Canis lupus familiaris: one gene and its partner. The protein of the gene in region 1 interacts with the protein of each later gene in a biochemical or structural test. Links are inferred from orthologs where the notes say so. Each region holds a gene or a part of one and is shown in the gene's direction. Other genes may lie near its edges.

Evidence for each region. The genes of interacting proteins can lie anywhere in the genome.
Region 2: the proteins of TNFRSF13B (region 1) and TNFSF13B form a complex in vitro, tested with the Homo sapiens proteins (3 studies listed by BioGRID and IntAct, with this or other methods). The link is inferred for Canis lupus familiaris from reciprocal best matches to the Homo sapiens genes TNFRSF13B and TNFSF13B.

What each region holds. Positions count from the first base shown.
Region 1 is NC_049226.1:42,659,366-42,669,532, forward strand, and holds the start of TNFRSF13B (tumor necrosis factor receptor superfamily member 13B), read left to right. Parts: upstream 1-3,904; 5' UTR 3,905-3,983; coding exon 3,984-4,044; intron 4,045-5,961; exon of another isoform or gene 5,962-6,138; intron 6,139-10,167. UniProt on the Homo sapiens protein: Receptor for TNFSF13/APRIL and TNFSF13B/TALL1/BAFF/BLYS that binds both ligands with similar high affinity. Mediates calcineurin-dependent activation of NF-AT, as well as activation of NF-kappa-B and AP-1.
Region 2 is NC_049243.1:57,180,054-57,190,249, forward strand, and holds the start of TNFSF13B (tumor necrosis factor ligand superfamily member 13B), read left to right. Parts: upstream 1-3,966; 5' UTR 3,967-4,197; coding exon 4,198-4,554; intron 4,555-4,651; coding exon 4,652-4,739; intron 4,740-10,196. UniProt on the Homo sapiens protein: Cytokine that binds to TNFRSF13B/TACI and TNFRSF17/BCMA. TNFSF13/APRIL binds to the same 2 receptors. Together, they form a 2 ligands -2 receptors pathway involved in the stimulation of B- and T-cell function and the regulation of humoral immunity.

The sequences.
Region 1 (10,167 bases):
AATATCGCCGCCGTGCTTGTGTAGAGTGGAACAGTCCTGTTGGAAAATATTGATCATGGGCAGCCCGGGTCGCTCAGTGGCTTAGCGCCGCCTTCAGTCCAGGCGTGATCCCGGAGAACCGGGATCGAGTCCCACGTCGGGCTCCCTGCATGGAGCCTGCTTCTCCCTCTGCCTGTGTCTCTGCCTCTCTCCCTCTCTCTCTGTGTGTGTCTCTATGAATAAATAAATAAAATCTTTAAAAAAATAAAAAGAAAATATTGATCAATGTGACGTCTCCTTTGACCAAATAATCCACTTAGGGAATTCAAGCCATTAGATGAGACACAGAGATAAAATATATATTAAATGAATATATGTAAGGGGTTTAAAATAGTGCCTGGAACATGGTGAGTGCTACGTAAATGCTCACTATTGTTATTCTTTGTAATAGGCATTTTATTTTTTATTTATTTATTTATTTATTTTTTGTAATAGGCATTTTAAAGAACTCCTTTAAAAGGTTAGGTTTGGGCTGCTGGGGTGGCTCAGCGGTTTAGTGCTGCCTTCAGTCCAGGGCCTGATCCTGGAGACCCAGGATCGAGTCCCACGTCGGGCTCCCTGCATGGAGCCTGCTTCTCCTCTGCCTGTGTCTCTACCTCTCTCTCTCTCTCTCTCTCTCTCTGTCTCTGTCTCTCTGTGTGTGTGTCTCATGAATAAATAAATAAAATCTTAAAAAAAATAAAAAGATAAAGCTTGATAGAATATATTGGGTGAAAAAAAAAGCCAGATGTTTACAGTGTGTTGAATCCGTATGCACAAGTAATTGTGTAAAAACTGTGTATGGGGGTGGAGGGGATGGGGCAAAATCTATCATCTATCGACGTGTGCATGCATGTAAATGTCAAGGCTTGGCCGGAAGCCTGTGTGAACCAGATCTGGTCACAGTTGCCACCTTTGAACAGGGAAAGGGGCCATCTAGAGTATCTAGATAGGAGAAAAATTTCTTTTTTGCTATAGTCCCTTTCACACTGAATTTTTCTTTACCATGTGCTCATTTTAACTGTTTAGGTGACCCTATTTGAATGAATCAGCTCCCAAACCTGGAGGTATACAAGGTGCCTTCACTCTGGGTCCCAGAACTCTTCTGTCCCCTTTAAATGTGGGGACTTAAAATTAGAATCCCGCGTCCCCCCCTGGGGGAGACAGCTCTCGGAGAGGGCTGGTTTCAGAATGATGTTCAGAAACCTCCAGCACCTGTTCTGAGGGAGCCCAGGGAGGAAGGGAATCTATTTTCATAGGTCATGAAATTTGAGCTCAGTACCACAATAATAAAATTCCTTGCAATTGTGTGGCACTGGTGGGGACAGATCACACATGCTTTGGTCTGGGCTGTCCTGTTTGAGCTTAACATTCATCCATTGGATCAGGAGAAAATGAGGCTTGCAGAGGCTAAGCAAGCCCCCCCGCCAAAATGTCCCACAGCTTTGCTCTGTCTGGTTTAATAAAATCTAGTAACAACGGAAAGGAGCCAGAAGAAAGAAGTGGATAATCCCATCTGTAGGTTCCTGTTTATACGGTCAGGAACAGACAACATGAATCTGTGGGGACAGAGGTCAGAATGAGGGCGATTCTGGGGTGATGTGGTGGCTGCTGGGAGAGGCAGGGAGGGGGGCTTCTGGGGGCCCCAAGTGTTCTCAGTCTTGATCTGGGTAGCATTACCTGGGTATGCACATCTGTAAACTATTCACTGACCTGCACACTTCAAATTCTTGCATTTCACTGCACGTAAATTGCACTTTTAAATGAAGAAAATAGAAAGCAAATAAGATCCATTATTTGTAAAGACTGTTCCAGCAAAAGCATTAGCAAGCTGTGATCAGCAATGAGACATTAGGAAACCCTGCCATCCCGTTCTTGGCCTCCCCGGGAGTCAGATCTGATTCTGTTTGACTTTTGTTTCACGTGTAACTTTTGTTTTGTTGGCTTTAAAACTCAAAAGTGCTATCTCATTGAGCAAGGCAATGTGTGTGGTTCCAGAGACCAGCAGTCAGTCCAGCAGGTCTGCTTCTGGAAGGTACAGTCCGCTCAATAGATGGAGACAGCTTTCCAACGGTCAGAACTAACCCCCTGTGAGCCAGCTGCTCTGTGAGGTGCTGAGAGCCCCAGCTCCGGGGAAGAAGATAAGGGGGAAGTGCACTGAGGGCATCCAACAGTGACTCTGGGCTTGCCCTGATTCCACAGGCAGAAAGTTCCTGGCAACAGAACCCATGATTGCCTCTGGCTCTCGAATCCACCCCGCCTGCCTAGCTGTTGGCACAAGTAATACAGATGTATCTTCTCTGTGTAAACATTAAGAAATTACAAGTAGGGCTAAAGTCCCTCTTGACCATCACCCCCAAATCTGGTCCCCTCTTGTCCTACCCAGAGGCAACCATTGTCACCATGCTCATCTTGTCAGATGTCGTCTGTCTGCATCACGTTCGTATGTATGGTGTCACTGAAAATGCGATTTGTGATTTTATTTTACTAAAAGGTATCATGGTTTGTCTTGACAGTCATTCCATGTCACTGCTTACAGATCCAGACTGATCTTTGTAACCTTCTTGTAACCCTTCTTTGTAACCTTTGCATAATATTCCTGGTTGTGACCTGTGTACCTCACTCGGCCATCCTCCGCTGGATCGACATGGACGTTGCTTCCAGATGCTCCCTATTATTAACCACGCCTCTGCGAACATCCTTGTGCACCTGTGGTACACGGGGAAGAATGTCGGGGTTGTGAGTTAGGTGTATGTTGTACAGTTTAATGCACCCGGCAGGTTGCCCTCCAAAATGGTAGTAACAACAGCCTCCCTCTGGCAGGGCAAGAGATCGCATCTCCCTAGGTACCCCCCATATCTCCCTGTTATCAAGTTCGAAGATTGTGCCAACCTGGTGGATGAAAATCCGTTTTTCATTGTTTGTGTCGCTTTGATCATGAGATTGAGCAGTTTTTAGGTTACCAGCCCTATTTCCTCTCCGGTTGTGTTCACTATCATCCGGGTCAGCCTTTTGTTCCCCTCCTTTCCACCCTCACTCCTGCCGTAACTCCTCCCTGGATGTCATCCCACTTCCCCTCCACCTACCCGATCCCTCAAGGTTTCCTTCCTCAATGCCATGGGCTTCTAAATCTGTCTCAATCCAGTCTTAATCCTGTGGAGGTTTCAGGGGAGTTGGGAAGGCATGGAAAACAAGTTCCCATAGTGGGAAGGGGGCTATGGCGCTGATCCTCATCGTTTATTGAGAACTTACTATGTGCCAATAACTTCTGCTAAGGATTTAACTGGGTAACTCCTTTCATTCTCCTTTCCTTCTGCTAACTGTGAGCAGGTATTATCGTTATACTTACTCATGAGAAGAGAAAATGGAGGCACAGAGGCCAAGCTGAGATTCAATCCAGGGTGTCCTGCTCTGATGTCAGCCTCTCGAGTACTTTGATAGGGCTTAGGAAACACAGAGAATGGGCATTTAACCTGGTCTGGGACAGTCAGGGACAGCTTCCTGGAGGAGGTGGCCCCTCGGCTGAGCCTGAAGGCAGATCAAGAAGAGATGACCAAGCACTGAAATAGGAAGTGGTTGTCAAGAAGAGGGAAGGGCCTGGGAAGCCTCTTGTCTGGAGGCTGGAGACCTGGGTCACTCTGGCTGCAGCCTGGAGCGTGTGACACATCCAAGGGGTGGGTTGGGGCCAGATTGGGGTCATACCAGTTTCCATCTCTTCCCAAAGCCAATCCAACCTTTCCCTTGCTCTGTGGGTGCTGACGGGCGGTGTGTGGTGGGGGCTCTGCAGACAGCACCGGTGGGGACTCCGGAGTAGGCGCAGGCCGCCCACCTCGGCTCCTAACACGCAGGTGCAGGGGCGGGTGGGGGTGCCGCTGATTTACATCCTACAGGTTGGGGGGGGAAAACCCAGGAAGTGCAGCTCAGGCACTAATCAAATCTAAGGCTAATAATAAACGTCCTGAGTAATGCGTGGCTTGGGCCAGAGCAGGCGAGGCAGCCGGACTCGGACGGGCCAGGAGGAGTGGAGTGAGTAGTCGGGGAGGCGGCCAGTGGGGGGGAGTGGGGGCGAGGAGGGCTTGGCCGGGGCACAAGCTTCAATGGGGTTTGATGGGCACAGCACCCACAGCAGACGGGTAAGCTCGAGCAGTCTGGGGGTCACCCCAAGCCTCTGCACGTAGAGAGCCCCAAGTCTGGGAGCTTTAGGGGATCTGTACCTCGCATTCCAGGAGAGGAGCCGGGAAGATGGAGGGTCAGGACATAGGTGGGAGTCCCATCTGAGACAACCCCAACCCCACTCCTAAGCTGGTCAGGGCACCTGAGCCAGGTTGGTCCGAGCGTTTAAAAGTATTTTATTTTGGGATCCCTGGGTGGCTCAGCAGTTTGGCGCCTGCCTTTGGCCCAGGGCGCGATCCTGAAGTCCTGGGATCAAGTCCCACGTCGGGCTCCCTGCGTGGAGCCTGCTTCTCTCTCTGCCTCTCTCTCTCTCTCTCTTTCTCTCTCTCTCTCTATGTCTATCATAAATAAATAAATATTTTTTTAAAAAGTATTTTATTTTGAAGTCAATGCCAAAGCGGAGAGGAGAGTTTAATGCACTTTCTGCATACATCCCCCAGCTTTGGCAATTATCGACACAGGGCCGGCCTTACATTTTCTGTGCTTGCCATGTTCCCCCTCCAGCCCCACTGGATCAGTTTAGAGCTAATAACCAATTTCATATTGTTTGATTCATGGGTACCTTAGCATTAATCTCTAAAAAAACTCTTTAAAGGCCAAAAAACTAACCATCATGCCCTGACCAACTAAAAAAAGAAGGATCCCCTAGTATTACCAAATAAACAGTCAGTGTCAAGACTTCCCAACTGTCTTATCAATGTCTTTTCCAACTGATTTGATCAAATCAGGATCTGAACACAACCCACGTTATACCTTTGATTACATATTTTAATCTAGAACAGTCCCCATTTGCTCTCCTTTCTTCCCCCTGCTATATATTTATTGAAGACCCTGGATTACTTAGCCTGTAGAATTTTTATGAGAGTTTTAAAGATTCATTTGAAGGCACAATCCAGGAAGCTCAGGTTGCTGGAGTAGATGAGTCCAAGTCCATCACTGTGCAGAGGGGACCCAAGGCTAAACATGAGAGGGGCTGTCAGGGCCCTGGGTGGCCCAGCCCGGGATCCCACATTGCCGGCTGCTGCTCTGTCCCCCACGAGTCAGTCTCTGATTCCTTTCTTCATCCAGTGACCATGGCCTCAGACATATCCCCAGCTAAGGGCTCAGAGTCAAGACCAGAGGCCCCCTTGACTCAGGGTGAAACTGCCCAGGCCCCCAGGACCACAGGCCGGGACTCGGTCGGAACTGTGACCGGGCACCGAGCGTGGCTGCCGAGTATAGCAGAATCAGCCTTGGCCTGGAGTCCTAGCTCCCGGTGTTCACGGGCTCACTGGGTGACCTTGGGAGGGTTCTGCACCTCGCCAGGCTGTTTCCTCGGCTTTACAATGAAGAGGAGCCTCTGCCCCACCAGGTGTCCCCCAAAACCTCAAAAGGGCTTTGCCCCCTGCCAGAACCCCTCTTGAGGAGTCAAAGGTTGAGAGAGGGGCTGCAGTTAAAAGAGCTTTGACTTTCTTTAATCCGGCATTTTTCCAACTAAGTTGACCACAGAGGTCCTTCTTGGTATGGAAACTATTAAGCCAAGCACATGAGGACTCACAGGCAGAGGCCCCACAGTCATCCCTCCTGGCTGCTGTCCGGTCAGGGTGCAAGGTGCAGGAGGTGGGGGGTGTGAGCCTGGTCCGCAAAAGCAGGCGTGCAAGAGGACTTCTTCCCTTCTTCCCTACATGGCAACAGAACTTTCTCAAGCTTCCATTATGCCTGGCCAGTGTCAGTCTTAGGATTTTCCTGCCCCTCTTTGGGGCTGGACAATGATTCTTGAATTTTATGTAGATGCAGATGGTGGTGGAGGAGTGGGGAGCAGATACGGTGCCCTCCGGTCCGTTGGGTGTCTGCCGTCAGGCCAGTTGGGAACTATGTCCCGTCAGATCTCACAGCTCGGTGGCTTCCGATCATTAATGTCTTGGAAGCTCTCCATGTCTACATTGGAAGCCCAGAAAATATAAAAAGGTATATAATATGAAATCTTCCTTCCCTCAGTGTCCTTACCTTCCCAGTTCCTGCCTCTCTGGGAATAAACAGATTTGCTGACATATAATTTACGTGTCATAAAAGTGTACACGTCAATGTCACATTTAGTATATTTACAGAGTTGTGCAATCATCGCTATGATCTAATTTTAGAACATTTCCACACACTTCATTCCCCCTACCCCTGGCCTTAAGCTAACACTAATCTGCTTTCTATCTCTAAAGATCTTCTTGTGTTTTTGTTTTGTTTGTTTATAATGTGGAGGGAGGGGCAGAGTGAGAGGGAGGAGAATCCCAAGCAGATTCCCTGCTGAGCATGGAGCTCGATGCAGGGCTTGGGCCCAGGACCTTGAGATCATGAGCTGAAATCAAGAGTCAGCCACCCACGCGCCTCTAGATTTGCCTGCTTTGGACAATTTTATAAAAATCAAATGCGGTGTTTTGCAAACTACCTTCTTCCTCTTAGCATGATGTTTTTAAGGTTCTTTCATGTTGTAGCATCTATCAGCACTTTGCTCATTTTTATGGCCAAATAATATTCCATTTAATGGGTATAGCACATTTTATATATTCATTCATCAGTTGACGGACATTTGTGTTGTTTCTACTTTGGGGCTATTATGAATGATGGTGCCATGAATATCTGTCAAGCATTTGGATGGACATGTTTTCATTTCTCTTGGGAGTGGAATTTTGGGTCTTATGTTAATTCTATGCTTAACATTTTGAGGAACCACCAAACTGTTCTCTGCAGTAGCTGTACCATTTGATAATCTTGTTTCACATATGAGGATTCCAATTTCTCCACATCTTCACAAACACTTGTCATTATCCTTCATTTTCATTATAGCCATCTTAGTAGGTATCTCAGTGTGCTTTTGATTTGCATTTCCCTAATGACCAATGATGTTGAGCATCTTTTCATGCTCTTATTAGCCATTCACATATCTTTTTGGGAAGATGTCTAATTCCTTAACCTATTTTTAAATTGGATTGTTTTTTCGATATTCAGTTATAAGCATTCTTTAGACATTCTGGATCCCTTAACATATATATGGTTTGCAAATATATCCTCCCAGTCTGTGGATTGTCCTTTTATTTTCTTGATAGTATTCTGTGAAACACAAATGTATTTAATTTTGATGAAGTCTAATTTCTTAATCTTCTCTGTTGTCACTTATGCATTTGGTGTCATTCCTAACCCCAAGTCATGAAGAAACTCCTGTTTTCATCTAAATTTGTCATTTTAGCTCTTACATTTAGATCTATGATCACTGCGAGTTAACTTTTGTATAGGTAGGAGTCCAAATTTTTTCTTCTACACATGGCTATCCTGTTGTCTCAGCACTATTTGTTGAAAAGACGATCCTTTCTCCCATTGAATTGTCTTGGTATCCTTATTGAACATCAATTGACTATAAATATTGGGCTTTATTTGTGAACTCTGAGTTCTATTCCATTTGTCTATGCTTATCTTTATGCCAGTAATACCCTGTCTTATTTACTATTACTTTATAGTCAATTTTAAAATGGAAAAGTGTGAGTCTTCCAACTATGTTTTTCTTTTTTGAGATTGTTTTGGCTCTTCTGAGTCTCTTGCATTTCCATATGATTTTAGGATCAGCTTGTCAAACTCTGCAGAAAAGCCAGCTGGGATTTTTTACTAGGATTGCATTGACTCTATAGAAAAATTTGGGGAATATTGCCATCTTAACAATATTAAGTCTTTAATCCATGAACATGGGATGTCTCTCCATTTGTTTAGGTCTTTTAAGATTTCTATTAACAAGGTTTTATAGTTTTCAATGTACAAGTTTTGCACTTTTTAAAAATTTATTCCTAAGAATTTTATTTAAAACACCTTTTTTTGTTTGTTTGTTTCTTAAGTTTCTTTATAGTGTTTCTTTGTGAATATGCCAACACTTACAGATTTGAATTTCCCCCTTTTTGCAAAAAAGGAAGGAGGGAGGGAGGGAAGGAAGGCAGGAGGGGTCTCAATGAGCCATACTGTTATGTACCTGTTTGTTTTTATTTTTGCTTTTCCACATAATATACCTTGGAGCTCTGTCCATAGAAATATATAAAGAGCTTCCTAATTCTTTTTTTATAGATGCACAATAGTCCCATATATAAGCATACTATAGTTTACTTATCGGTCCTCTATTGATGGCCGTTTGAGGTTTCACCAATCTTCTGCTATCACAAACACTGCTGCAAAGAATTTATCATTTCACACTCTGGGATAAATCCCAGGGTTTAATCACTGTATCACTGATCAATGCATCAGTAATTTTGACAAATGTTGTCAGCTTGCCCTCCACGAGGGTTATCCCTATTTCCTCCCCTTTCAGAGTGAATGAAAGTGCCAGTTTCCTCATTACTCTGCTAATAGAAGGTGTTATTAAGCTTCTGGATTTTTAGGTCTATTAGAGGGAAGATAGTATCAACATAGTTTGAGTTCACCCATCTCTTAGGAATGAGACCAGACATCTTTATGATGTTTTTCTCTGTCTAAGAACTGTCTATTCATTGTGTTTGCTCAATTTTCTATTGAGTAGCTGGCCTTTTCCCTTCTGTTTATAGATATGAACTGCAATGTTTTGTTCTCATTTTTCATTTCCCTTTAGACTTCTTTGAAGGCATTTTTTGCCACATTTAGGGGCTTTTTTTCTGTAGTATAGTTTATCAGTCTTTACAGATTTTGGATATGGGGTCACAGTTAGGCCTCTCATACTCCAAGTTTACAAAGAAATATCAGATCATTTTTTCTCTAGAACTTTTTGTAATTTTATTCTTTCTCACACTTGAAAGTGTGAGAAATTTTATTTTCTCTTTGATTGGGCTATTTGCCTTTTTTTTTTTTAATATAGGGGAAATTATTTCCTGTGCTTCCTGGTTTCTGGCCCCAGTTACCTCGTCTCTGCCAAGAAACCTCTCCCCTAAGTATTAAAAGCAAAAGCCAGGATTTTTGCTTTCCCCTCTCCCCACACCAGGACACCTCTGCCCTGAGTCTACTTGCATGAAGGAAATGCAGGCAGAGGAGGGGGCAGAGTAAAACTTAAATATGTCCCAGCCCAGCTGTCTATAACTCAAAAATGGAGACCGCTTTTCATTCCACAAGTCTTTACGGAGGACAACGATGTGTCAGGTCATTTACGAGCATTTATTAAAGACCTGCTATGTCCCGGTATTTTGGAAGGCACCAGATTCAGAGATGAATGAGACAGTGTAAGGAGACAGAATGGCTACACCCTCAAACGTAAAGTACAAAACCAGAAATACCACCACGTAGACATGCTCAGGCCACATGGTCATCCAGGAAGGCACATGTAACAGCTCAGAAGGAGAGGCTAGAGGACAAGGCAGCTCTGCGGGCAAGTGTTTCTAGAAAATTATGATGCTTAAGCCACAAATTGAGATGGTGGGAGCATGAGATGGTGGGAGCAGTTCTCAGTCCTGGAGAGCTGCTTTGATGATGCTATCATTATTATTAATAATAATATTCTATCATCATAAATGATTCCATGGTTTTATATTACTCTAAAATGATTATAACTGTGACTATAATTAATCCATTATATTTTATATCACTTATACCAGATACGTAACTATCACTTGGCAGCCGAGTCTCAGGCCAGTTACATGTATGTTATGTACATGTCCTTGAGAGAACTTTCTCTGCAGAGGAAAGCCTATAACCTCCATTTTGCAGATAAGGAAAACCAACGTGCCCTTTCCCAAGGGAATTCAGTGGTGTCCCAGAGCTGTGCTTTCCCCACCACAGGCACTTGTTCCTTCACACTTGTTCTCTGTCACTGAACTGTGGCAAATCAATTTTCAAAATGACCTACCTAATGAGAGGCAAAAGTTATAATGGGTAGAGACGGTTGTCCCCTTCTTATAAACACAAAACTGAGAAAGTTACTTGACTGTACTCCCAGGACCTAGTTTAGTTCTGACTTAGATCCAGCACAGGGGTGATGGGCTCACCAGCCTCAGAATCTCTGGA
Region 2 (10,196 bases), on another chromosome or scaffold:
GCAGAAAAGAGTCTGTTTAGATGGTGAAGCAACCTTAGGCATGCAGACATACATGTCTGACCTGGGCACTCCACCTCCATCACTTTACTTCTGACATTTATTGAACAAAATTTCAAATAAATTATTTTAAATGTTTGCAAGTTCTGCCTTAATAATTTTTAGAGGCAGAGGGTAAGACTTCTTGCATGAAATCTTACAGAGATTCATTACTCTACTTCTACTCGATTGAAACAATTACTCTATCGTTTCTCTAAGTGTTTTCGAGATGGGTTGAATATGACCAGTTTTTATTCAAGTGTCCCTAGGTGTAAGTGTGTATTCTGTGGCCTTATATGTGGTATGGACAGATTCATTCATGTATATGGAATAGGTAGATGATGGCATTGACTGACACATACCCACCTTAATACTAATTAAAATTTTATTCATGTTGGTGTTACAAGGGGAAAGAAGAGCAAACTAAACTGCACTATCATTGAAAATAGTATTGAGGTCGACAGAAATTTATTGAAAGCACACATTTAAACACTGTTGTTCAACAGCATTACGTCTGAAAGCAGCGCCCCAACAAACTAAAGACATATTTGCAAATGAAACTAAATCATTAACAAAAGTGGATGTTTTTCCCAAGAGTGACACAAATTAAGCTCCAGTAAATGCACATGCTCCTCTTTTTAGTGTAACTATTGAGAAATAGGAATCAGCATTGCCCGGATTATTTTTTTGTACACAAAATGACCAGAAAAATACATCATTACTTCACAGTTACCAGGTGATTAGCATTTAGCCTTACAAATCAGTTTCACTGACTGCATATATCCAAAAGAAAACAACATGATTGTTTCTCAAATGTAATAATTATTTGTATCCAGCTGTTTACCACGTTTTGAGCTCTTTAGGAAGCCAGTTTTACCGAGATCCATTGTAGCTACATCCACATATCTAGAAGAGCTCTTGTTCACGTAGTTGAGAGGTCCACATCCTCAATAAAGATAATTTATCCTCAAAGAAGAGGTCTAAGAGAGGTTTCCTAAAGGCGCTAAATGTTCATAATACTATTAAGCCAGAAGTTCCTAATTACGTTTTTTTTTTTAATATTTTATTCTCTGGTTCACACCCTTGGATAAACTCATAACTTAAATTCTTTTCACCTATACTCTTACATGTTCCTATCTGCCCAGTCCTGAGTGGATGGGACAAGCAATACGGATTCATTTATTACAAGTGGTGTAGCTGTGATACACGGGAATATTTTCTATTTCAGGTGAGGAAAAAAAAGTAGGTAAGAAGTAGCTGCATCCTGGCAGAGAGCACTCTGTGGCTCAGGTATGGTAGCTTCCTTCCCTGAATAAACTTGTGGTGTGGGGTGTTATTCAATGAGTGGCAAGCTATTTGTTTAACAGAATTTCAGTTAAATTATTGTCAAGACATTTCCTCAGCAGGAAACAGATCCTTGATTTATGGAGTAGTAACTTCCTTTTGTTCCTCTAATAAGAAATTCAGGAGCACATGAATGCTGCTTGGTTTCCACTTGTCTTCAGAGAAATTTGGTCGTGTGATCACTGTGAAGGATGTGCACATGGCAGTAGCCGTGAGCCTCACATCTGGGTCAGGGGAAGCCACCGGCCTGCCGCCTTCTGTGGAAGAAGCACCAGCCCTCTCTATGCTTAGGGCTGCCCACCACTTGATCCAAGATGAGACACTTGTTTTAAACTGACCTACACATAGGCTGGTCAGTGGTACTCTCTGAAGACAGTCGGCCATGAAGGTGTCTATCCAAAAGAGCAATGAAGGCAGAACTAATTCTCTAACGCAATCGAACTATTCCCCCTCTCTGCAATTTTTACAGCAGCATATGGACAAGAGTGTCCCACCAAAAGTGGAAGAAAGTCAACTCACAGAAAGAAGCGGTGGCTACAAGTGTCCTGAGTAAAAGCACAGAGCGATGAATTTCTAGCACTGCCTCAAATTCTTTTATTCCATATGTCTTTGGGTAATATTAACACACACACATAAACCTGAGTGAGCTTCCCTTACTTTCAGTCAGAAGGGTTTAGTATAATCCCCAAACTGATTCTTTCTTTTCTTTCCTTTTCTTTTCTTCTTTCTTTCTTTCTTTCTTTCTTTCTTTCTTTCTTTCTTTCTTTCTTTCTTTCTTTCTTTCTTCTTTCTTTCTTTCTTTCTCTTTCTTTTCCTTTTCTTTTCTTTTCTTTTCTTTTCTTTTCTTTTCTTTTCTTTTCTTTTCTTTTCTTTTCTTTCTTTTCTTTTTTTCTTTTTCTCTAGTGTATGTCCCCCTGATTGGCCTGGAAGCAAGAACTATGACAGAAGACGTGTATTACGTGACATCTGACACAAAGGAGTCTGCTCACGCACTCACCTGAGAGATCGGAGAACAGCTGCTTTGGGCGGCCAAGGTAATCTTCAAAAGAACTTTTTAGAGGTGTTATTTTTTTTTTCCAAGTTCTGTAAAAGTCATTTAACAAGGTCTTAGAACTCACAGACATAAAGGAACCTAGCAGGTAAAAATGAGTGTCTGGTGACGTCACCCCTCGTGAGCCGGGGAGGAAGCAGGAACTCCTCAGGGAGGCTGCTCTGTGACTCCTGACAGAGGTGAAGATGTGCTGACACCCTAGCAGGTGTCTCCCGGGGAAATCCCTGCAGACATTCCAAGGAGACCCGCACGAAGACGTCTGTGATGGTGCCATTTGTAATAAAGAAAAATAGTTCATGTCATGAGTGAAAATGGATGAGAAATGGAAGCATATTAAATCTAGTTTGTCCTGGTTCCTATAAGCCCTGTTACAGTTCCCAAGGACCCTTACCATCCCATTTCACAGACAGAAAACCGAATCCCAGACACACCATGTGTTTTGACCAAGGAGAGTGAGGATTCACACCCTGGCTCTGGAGCTCCTACCCTCACTTACGTTATTTCTGTGACTTTCCTTTTGAAGCTGGCATAGGGACATCATGTGAGACAGAGCTAGCGCTCCAGTCGTGGCACATGGAGGACTCAGGCCCAGCCAGGCCTTGGCAATTGCTCAGTAGCATTTGTTGAAGTGTGAGCTCCTGACACAACATGCAGGTCCTAGGAGCCGAGCAGCCAGACCCCAGGAAGTACTCAGGAGCTAGCCATCAAGACGTGTCTTGGCGGCAAGACCACATCCAGCAGCCATGATTTGGAGCTACCATGACTCTGGGCTGAATCAGGTTGTTCACAGACACAGTAGATTGGGGCAGGGTCAACCTAATAAGGACCAGTAGATTAGCTGCTTTAGGGAAAGAGCACTTAGTTCATGGTGGGCTGGACTGAGGCACTTGGAGCTGGAGATAAGGCCAGTTTTCCCAGATGCTGTCGGCCTGAGCGGACACTTGGAGCTTAGTGGGAGTGCTTCCCAGCTTGGCCGTCCTGTGCGTGGCTGCCTGCCGGGCAGTGAGTCCCAGAAGGAACGCAGTACACATGTTTCCCTTCAAAATGCATCCCCTGCATATAAAGAAGCCCTCATGTGTAATCTAACTACATCCCCCAAATTTAGTCACATTCTTTTTATCTCATTGCTAAGATAATAATAAAAAGAATATTCCCCAGTGGATGTCTGTGCCTCCCCTGAGGAAATCTCGTTTTATTTCCTACTCTGAAACTGTTCATAAATCATTCTCCAGCTGAGTACAGTTCAGTGCTAGTACTTAGCTTATCTGACCTTCGCATTAATTATTTTTATTACAGCAGCAGGAACGTCAGTGTGTTTTCCCCTGCCCTCCGAAGCCATGTGGCCCCGAGCAGAGTGGCTCCCGTCCTGCCACCGGCGGCTCCTCCGGTACCTGTCCAGCTGTCCCAAGTGTACCAGCTCAAACCCCATGTCCTGTCATACCAATGGATGCCCGAGGCCCGTTTGTGTGTGTGTGTGTGTGTGTCTTAGATGCGATTAAAATTCTTACAAAAACTGAAAGTGAAATGAGGAAATGATTGGGCAATCGAATAGAAGGGCCAGTGCCAGGAAGACCTATCATACCGGGGGGGCCCCGCGATGCGGCCAGGCAGACGGAGGGAAGCTCAGGAGAGCTCTCCTGAGGGCGACCACGGGGCCAGGCCATGTAGTCCGTGTAGGACATGAGCAAGCACAGCTCACAGGAAATGATCCGGTCCCTGCGCTCACTTACTCGAAAGGTCCAAACCTTCAAAGTTGCGGGAGTGCCATGGATGGCTGCACAGAAGGCCAGCAGTCACGCCTTTCTCCTTGCCTTGAGAGGGGAGAAGAAATGAAACTGAAGGAGTGTGTCTCCATCCTCCCCCTGAAGGAAAGCCCCTCTGTCCCATGCTCCAAAGATGGAACGCTGCTGGCCGTGACCCTGCTACTGGCCCTGACGGCCTGCTGCCTCTCCGTGGTGTCTTTCCACAGGGCGGCTGCCTTGCAAGCGGAGCTGGGGAGCCTCCGGGCGGAGCTGCGGGAACAGCACGCTGAGCCTGAGCGGCTGCCAGGCCCTCCGCAGGCCAGAGCCAGGGCCCCCAGGGCAGCCATGCGGGAGACCCCAGCTGTCACCTCAGCTCTGAACGTGAGTTTGCAGCAGCTGCGGCCCCAGGTTTGCCCCGCACCACTGCCCCCCACACCTCAGATATCTTTGCAATAACTTGGGGTTTTTCTCTCCTTAGGGAATCTTGGCACCATCCGCTGCAGGAGAAGGCAACTCCAGCCAAAGCAGCAGAAACAAGCGTGCCATTCAGGGGCCGGAAGAAACAGGTAAGTTTTGGGTGCAGAAGCATTTGGGAGCCAGGGAGCCTGGCATCCACAGGTGTGGAGGCTGGCCTCTGCTTTGAGGTCCCGAGAGTTGATTGATCAGTACTCAAAGACTGTGAGAGGTGCATTTACACCAGATGTGGCTTTAGGGCACAGCCTGTGCATTGGCACATTGATGAGCCTGCACGCCACGTTTTGTCCTCCAATGAGCATAGTGAGGGCCCTGCTGTCCTGGCAGCATAAAGGATGAGAAAGAGCCCAGAGTCTTCCTCCAATAGATCGTGCCTGTGTTGGAAACAGTGTCCATCACTCCAGCAGGAAAGCGCTTCAGGTCAGTATAGGTTCTGTCTACCTGAGTCATGGACAGTCAGGTAAAGGTAAACACTTCCTGAGGGCACCTTGTGTGCCATGCAGCCCAGTGAAGCTCCTGTTGGGAGCAGGTGTGTGTTTGTGATTTGTTTATTGCTGTAGTTCTAAAAAAGTTCATTTTACACACACACACATGCACACACGCACGCATGCATGCGTATACACACAGATTTTAAAGCTTTTCTTTAATGCTTTTCCAGGAACTTTTCCAGGAAGAGTTCTTTCATGATTGCTGCCTTTCTTTCTGTCCCACTTATTCCACAGTCTTAGAGATTCCAGAAACCTTGGATTGGGCAGAGCTTCCCCAAATGTTTGATTCTAGTTCCTGCATTTCAACGATGAAAAAGAGCATTACATTCATTCAATAATATCACAACTTAAACAATCCCTGGTATCATTCCTTTTCTTTTCTTTTCTTTTCTTTTCTTTTCTTTTCTTTTCTTTTCTTTTCTTTCTTTTCTTTTCTTTTCTTTCTTTTTTTTTCTTTTCTTTTCTTTTCTTTTCTTTTCTTCTTTCTCTTTCCTTTTTTTGAAAGAACACGTTTTGAGCAAACAGCATGGGCCTGCTTGGCGCATGCTGGGATAGTTATTGTCACGGCTACCATTTCCTTAAGTCCTCACGTTGGCCTTGAGGTGAGCAGAACAGGTGTAGTTCTGTACATATGTATTTGTACTTGTGGAGGGAAGCACATGACTTAGAGACTAGGTGTTCTTCCGTCAGACCACACACACACACTCACACACATTAGGTGCTTTGGCTGGAAATGTATTCACTAACTGCCTTATTCATGGAAAGAAAATTCTTACCTCTTCCTTAAAACCATAATTTTCTACATATGCTTTGTGTCAAGTATCAGAAACAGTTGGGTTTAAATATATATAAACTAGGAAATGTGAGTACTTTTACTATACTTTAACACATGAATTATTTTCATACTTTGCAATTTTATCATATGTATTTCCTACCTAACTGAAAAAATACAGCATATATACTATGGATTTATTTTTGTGTTCACTTATCATTATGCAATAAGCATTTTCCCTACTACTAAGTTATTCTCACACATCCATGTTAGTTTCCTGTCACACAGTTATTTAACATGACCATTTCCAAAACTTTTGTGCAGATTTCTTTTTTCTTTTTTCTTTTTTTTTTTTTTTAAGATTTTACTTATTTATTCATGAGAGACACACACACAGAGAGAGAGAGAGAGGCAGAGACACAGTCAGAGGGAGAAGCAGGCTCCACGTGGGACTCGATCCTGGAACTCCAGGATCACATCCTGGGCCGAAGGCGGCGCTAAACCGCTGCACCACCTGGGCCACCCTCTTATTTCTGATGAATTACATGTTCCAAAGAAAGAATATCAGAAATAAAGAGGATAAACATCTTTATCACCCTTACTCCCTTTTGCCATGTTGCTTCCAAAATGAATTATAAATGTATTGTAGTCAGAAATGCACTGTACAAGTTCTCCACATTCTTAGTGTTTTATCTTTTAAAATTTATGTTGGCTAGCTTGGTAGTTGTAAACAGTATCTCAAATGTAATTTGTTATTTGCTTACAAATAAGAATTTCTGCGTATTTACATAACTTCTAATTTTATCTTCTGCTAATTTTTATTTATAACTTCCCTCATTTGTCCTAATTCTTTGTGATTTGAATGAACTATATTAAACATTCTGTTTATCAAAATTTTGCTGTAAATATCTTCCCAATATCTTGCTTATTTAAAATGTGTACAGAGATTTTACATCTGTGTATGTAATATGATAAACTTTTCCTTCTGATCTCTGTCATACGTTAAAGCTAAAAATGTATTTCTTCATAATTTCTTACATAGCCTATTCTATTCTCTACCACTTTGACTTGTTTACAACTTTGTGTTTTAGTTTGCTGTTATTTAACTCCTTAATCCTCCTGGCATTCATTTGGTAGATCATGTCTACTAGCTTTAACTTACCCTTTCTTCTTTAATTTTTTTCCTTCTAAATTATTCCTAATATCTCAACTAAATTTATTAGATGATTCTTTTTAACTTGTTTGCATTGGAAAGCTTACTGTGTTGTATTAAGTTTCTCACATATAGTTGAATCTATTTTGAGACATTTTCATTGATTTATTATTCTTTTTATCTGTATTAAATAAAATATGTTAAGTATTTTGTAATATAATGAGCTTTAATATCTCATAGAGTCAGAATGTTTCAATCTTCTTCAACCTCCGTGCTAGTATCCTCCAGTCTCTGCACATTAGGTTTATGAATAATCCTTAACTTTACCATTGCAAAAGAGCTGCAAAGGGCTCATTATAGCAGGTTTAAGAAGAAACGACATTGAATAAGAAATTAATTAACTCCCAGAGTCCCACTTCCATAAATACCCTCTATTATATTTAAATTTTCCTCCTATGTGCAAAATTTTACAAATTTGTGATTCTATGGCATCCAAAAATCATATACTGATTAAAAATTTTCTCTAAATAAATTTGTAATTTTTAGAAAGTTTGGAAAGTAACAAAAAATTGTATCAAGTGAATAAAAATTTACCCAGTTTCCACAGCCCAGATATAACTGCTATTTTCATAATCATAATTTGCCTGAGATTTTCATAGACCTTTTATATAGTATATATATAGTATATATATAGACCTTTTATATAGTATATATGTATGTATATATACATTATATATATATATTAGTATAGGTATATATAGTATGTATATAAATATATCAAATATGTATAGATAACATATATATGCAATAAATAGTACCCCCCATATATATACACACTAACACTCATAACGTCCATAGATCTGAGAGGAGATCTCCTCTCCTTGAAGAGGAGGACCTCAGTTACAGGTCATATCTGCTATTCCTCATTGGTGAAACTGGCTTGAATGTCATTTTAGATGCCATCCTTCTGTGCAGGGAAAATGTAATTTGCTTAGTACTACAAGAGTAATGTGTATGTAACCAAGAGGGTTGTCTGGAACTCCTTGACTCCTTTCTTTCTTTCTTTCTTTCTTTCTTTCTTTCTTTCTTTCTTTCTTTCTTTCTTTCTTTCTCTGTTTGGTAATGTCCTTTCTTTGGAGTTGAGAAAATTCTGTATAATTTGAATCTATGCAACTTTCTTTGTTTTTGTTTGTTTCTATTCTAGTTCTGATTTTTTTTTAAGATATTTGTTTATTTATTTGAGAGAGAGAGAGACTATGAGCTGAAGGCAGTGGCAGAGGCAGAGGGAAAGGCAGATACCCCACTGAGCAGGAAGCCAGATGTGGAGCTCAATCCCAGGACCCCGAGGTCATGACCTGAGTCAAAACCACAAGTTGGACACTTAACCGACTGAGCCACCCAGGCACCCCTTGTCCTGATTTTATTAAGTAAGCCTCAAAAACTTTAGGTTGTCCCTGTTACTTTCAAACTGTCCATTCTTGTTCTTATTTATTCATTTTCTATATGCATTATAGAACCATTGACAGTTTCTGTTGGAATTTTATGCAAATTGTAACTCTGAAGATGAAAATGAATTTGTTCACTGTTTAATTTATATAACCAATAATGCTTAATATCTTTTTATTAAATAACAAATCTTAAATTTCCCAATTAGATAGAATTTTCTTAGGTTTTACTGTTCTTTCATAGTTAATTATTAAAAAGGTTTTGTTGTGATTTTGGAGTTCTGGGATTTTTAAATAGCTTATTAAACTGTTTTAAAATATACAGAATTTTCAACAAATATTGTAGCATTCAATCTCATGGATAGTTTTGAGCCACATCAACACCCTTACTGGACTTGTACTTAACAGAATTATAATATTGTTTCAGATTTTTTTAAAGAGTAGTCTGCTTTCTACATATACTCCTCAATATCAGTGTGCCATCATTTTATAACTATGTCAAATAGGTTCAGAACTAACTATTGCTAAATAACACCCCAGGACGTTGCCCATTTTTATTTCTCTGTAAATCCAATCTAAATTTCAGCAGCACTTCAGTTTTATTGTGTGCTTGTTCAGTTTGTAAATAAACTCCAGGGTGTTGGGGTAGAACATACCACATCCTCAGTATGTAGCACACCTGGGATTACATAGCACCCAGGGGAGGTTTGTATGTGTCCTGTCTGTACAACCTAAGAGTAGAGGCTTCTGTGGTCCAGGTCCTCTTTCTTTGGCACATTCATTGTGATACTTCCACACAGTAGGTGTTCTATGAATATTTGCTGATTGATTTGGGGCTTACTATGAGGTAAGATGCAATGACTTGGCATCATTTGAAGAGGGAGTGATTTTCCCATATTTCTTCATTTCTCAGGTTTAGATCAGAGGCCATCTTATGCAATTTTTTAACTTGACATTGAAAGCAGCTAATTTGCCAAAGGATGAGGTTGCTTGCAAGGCTAGAGTTGCAGGGAGAGTTCAGGGGCCCCTTGTCCCAGACCTTCTTGGTTCACCAGGTAGAGGCACAATCTGGGTTCGCTGAAGAGTCAGAGATAAACTCACATATTCAGCAATCTAACTCTAATTTCATGGATTTCGGGTTTTCTTTAATGTTTTGGTTTTAATTGAAGTATTATTTACATGTGGAAAAGGGCACGTATCTTAAGGAGACAGCTTGGTGAGTATTCACAAAACGAATAGCAGTAGATGAAGGGACGACATCAGCCTCAGCCCACGTGCCCACTTGACATTCTTCCAGTCCTCTCAAGGGTAAATGCTGCCTCTTGCTTAGTTATACACTTTGGGTATTTGGCTCCGGTTTTGTTTTTCTTAATTGTGTTGTGTTTCAAATGGAAGTCTTATTAAGTTTCTGTGTTTCATAAGATAATTTCTGATTGTAATCTAACAAACAGAAATGTGGGGAAATCCAGGATCAAAGAATTGCCAAATGGCATGCATTAGCCAAAAGTTCACTTTTCAGCCCATAAGTGTATTTGGAGATATTCCCAAATAAAATTAATAACTAAAGTGATCTGGCTTTGAAACATTACATGTTAAAATTTCTTCACAAATGGAATCATCATGATCCCTGTAGTTCAGTTCTCATCTAACTATTCCATCCACTTAAAAAATGTAGAGATAACCATACCAAG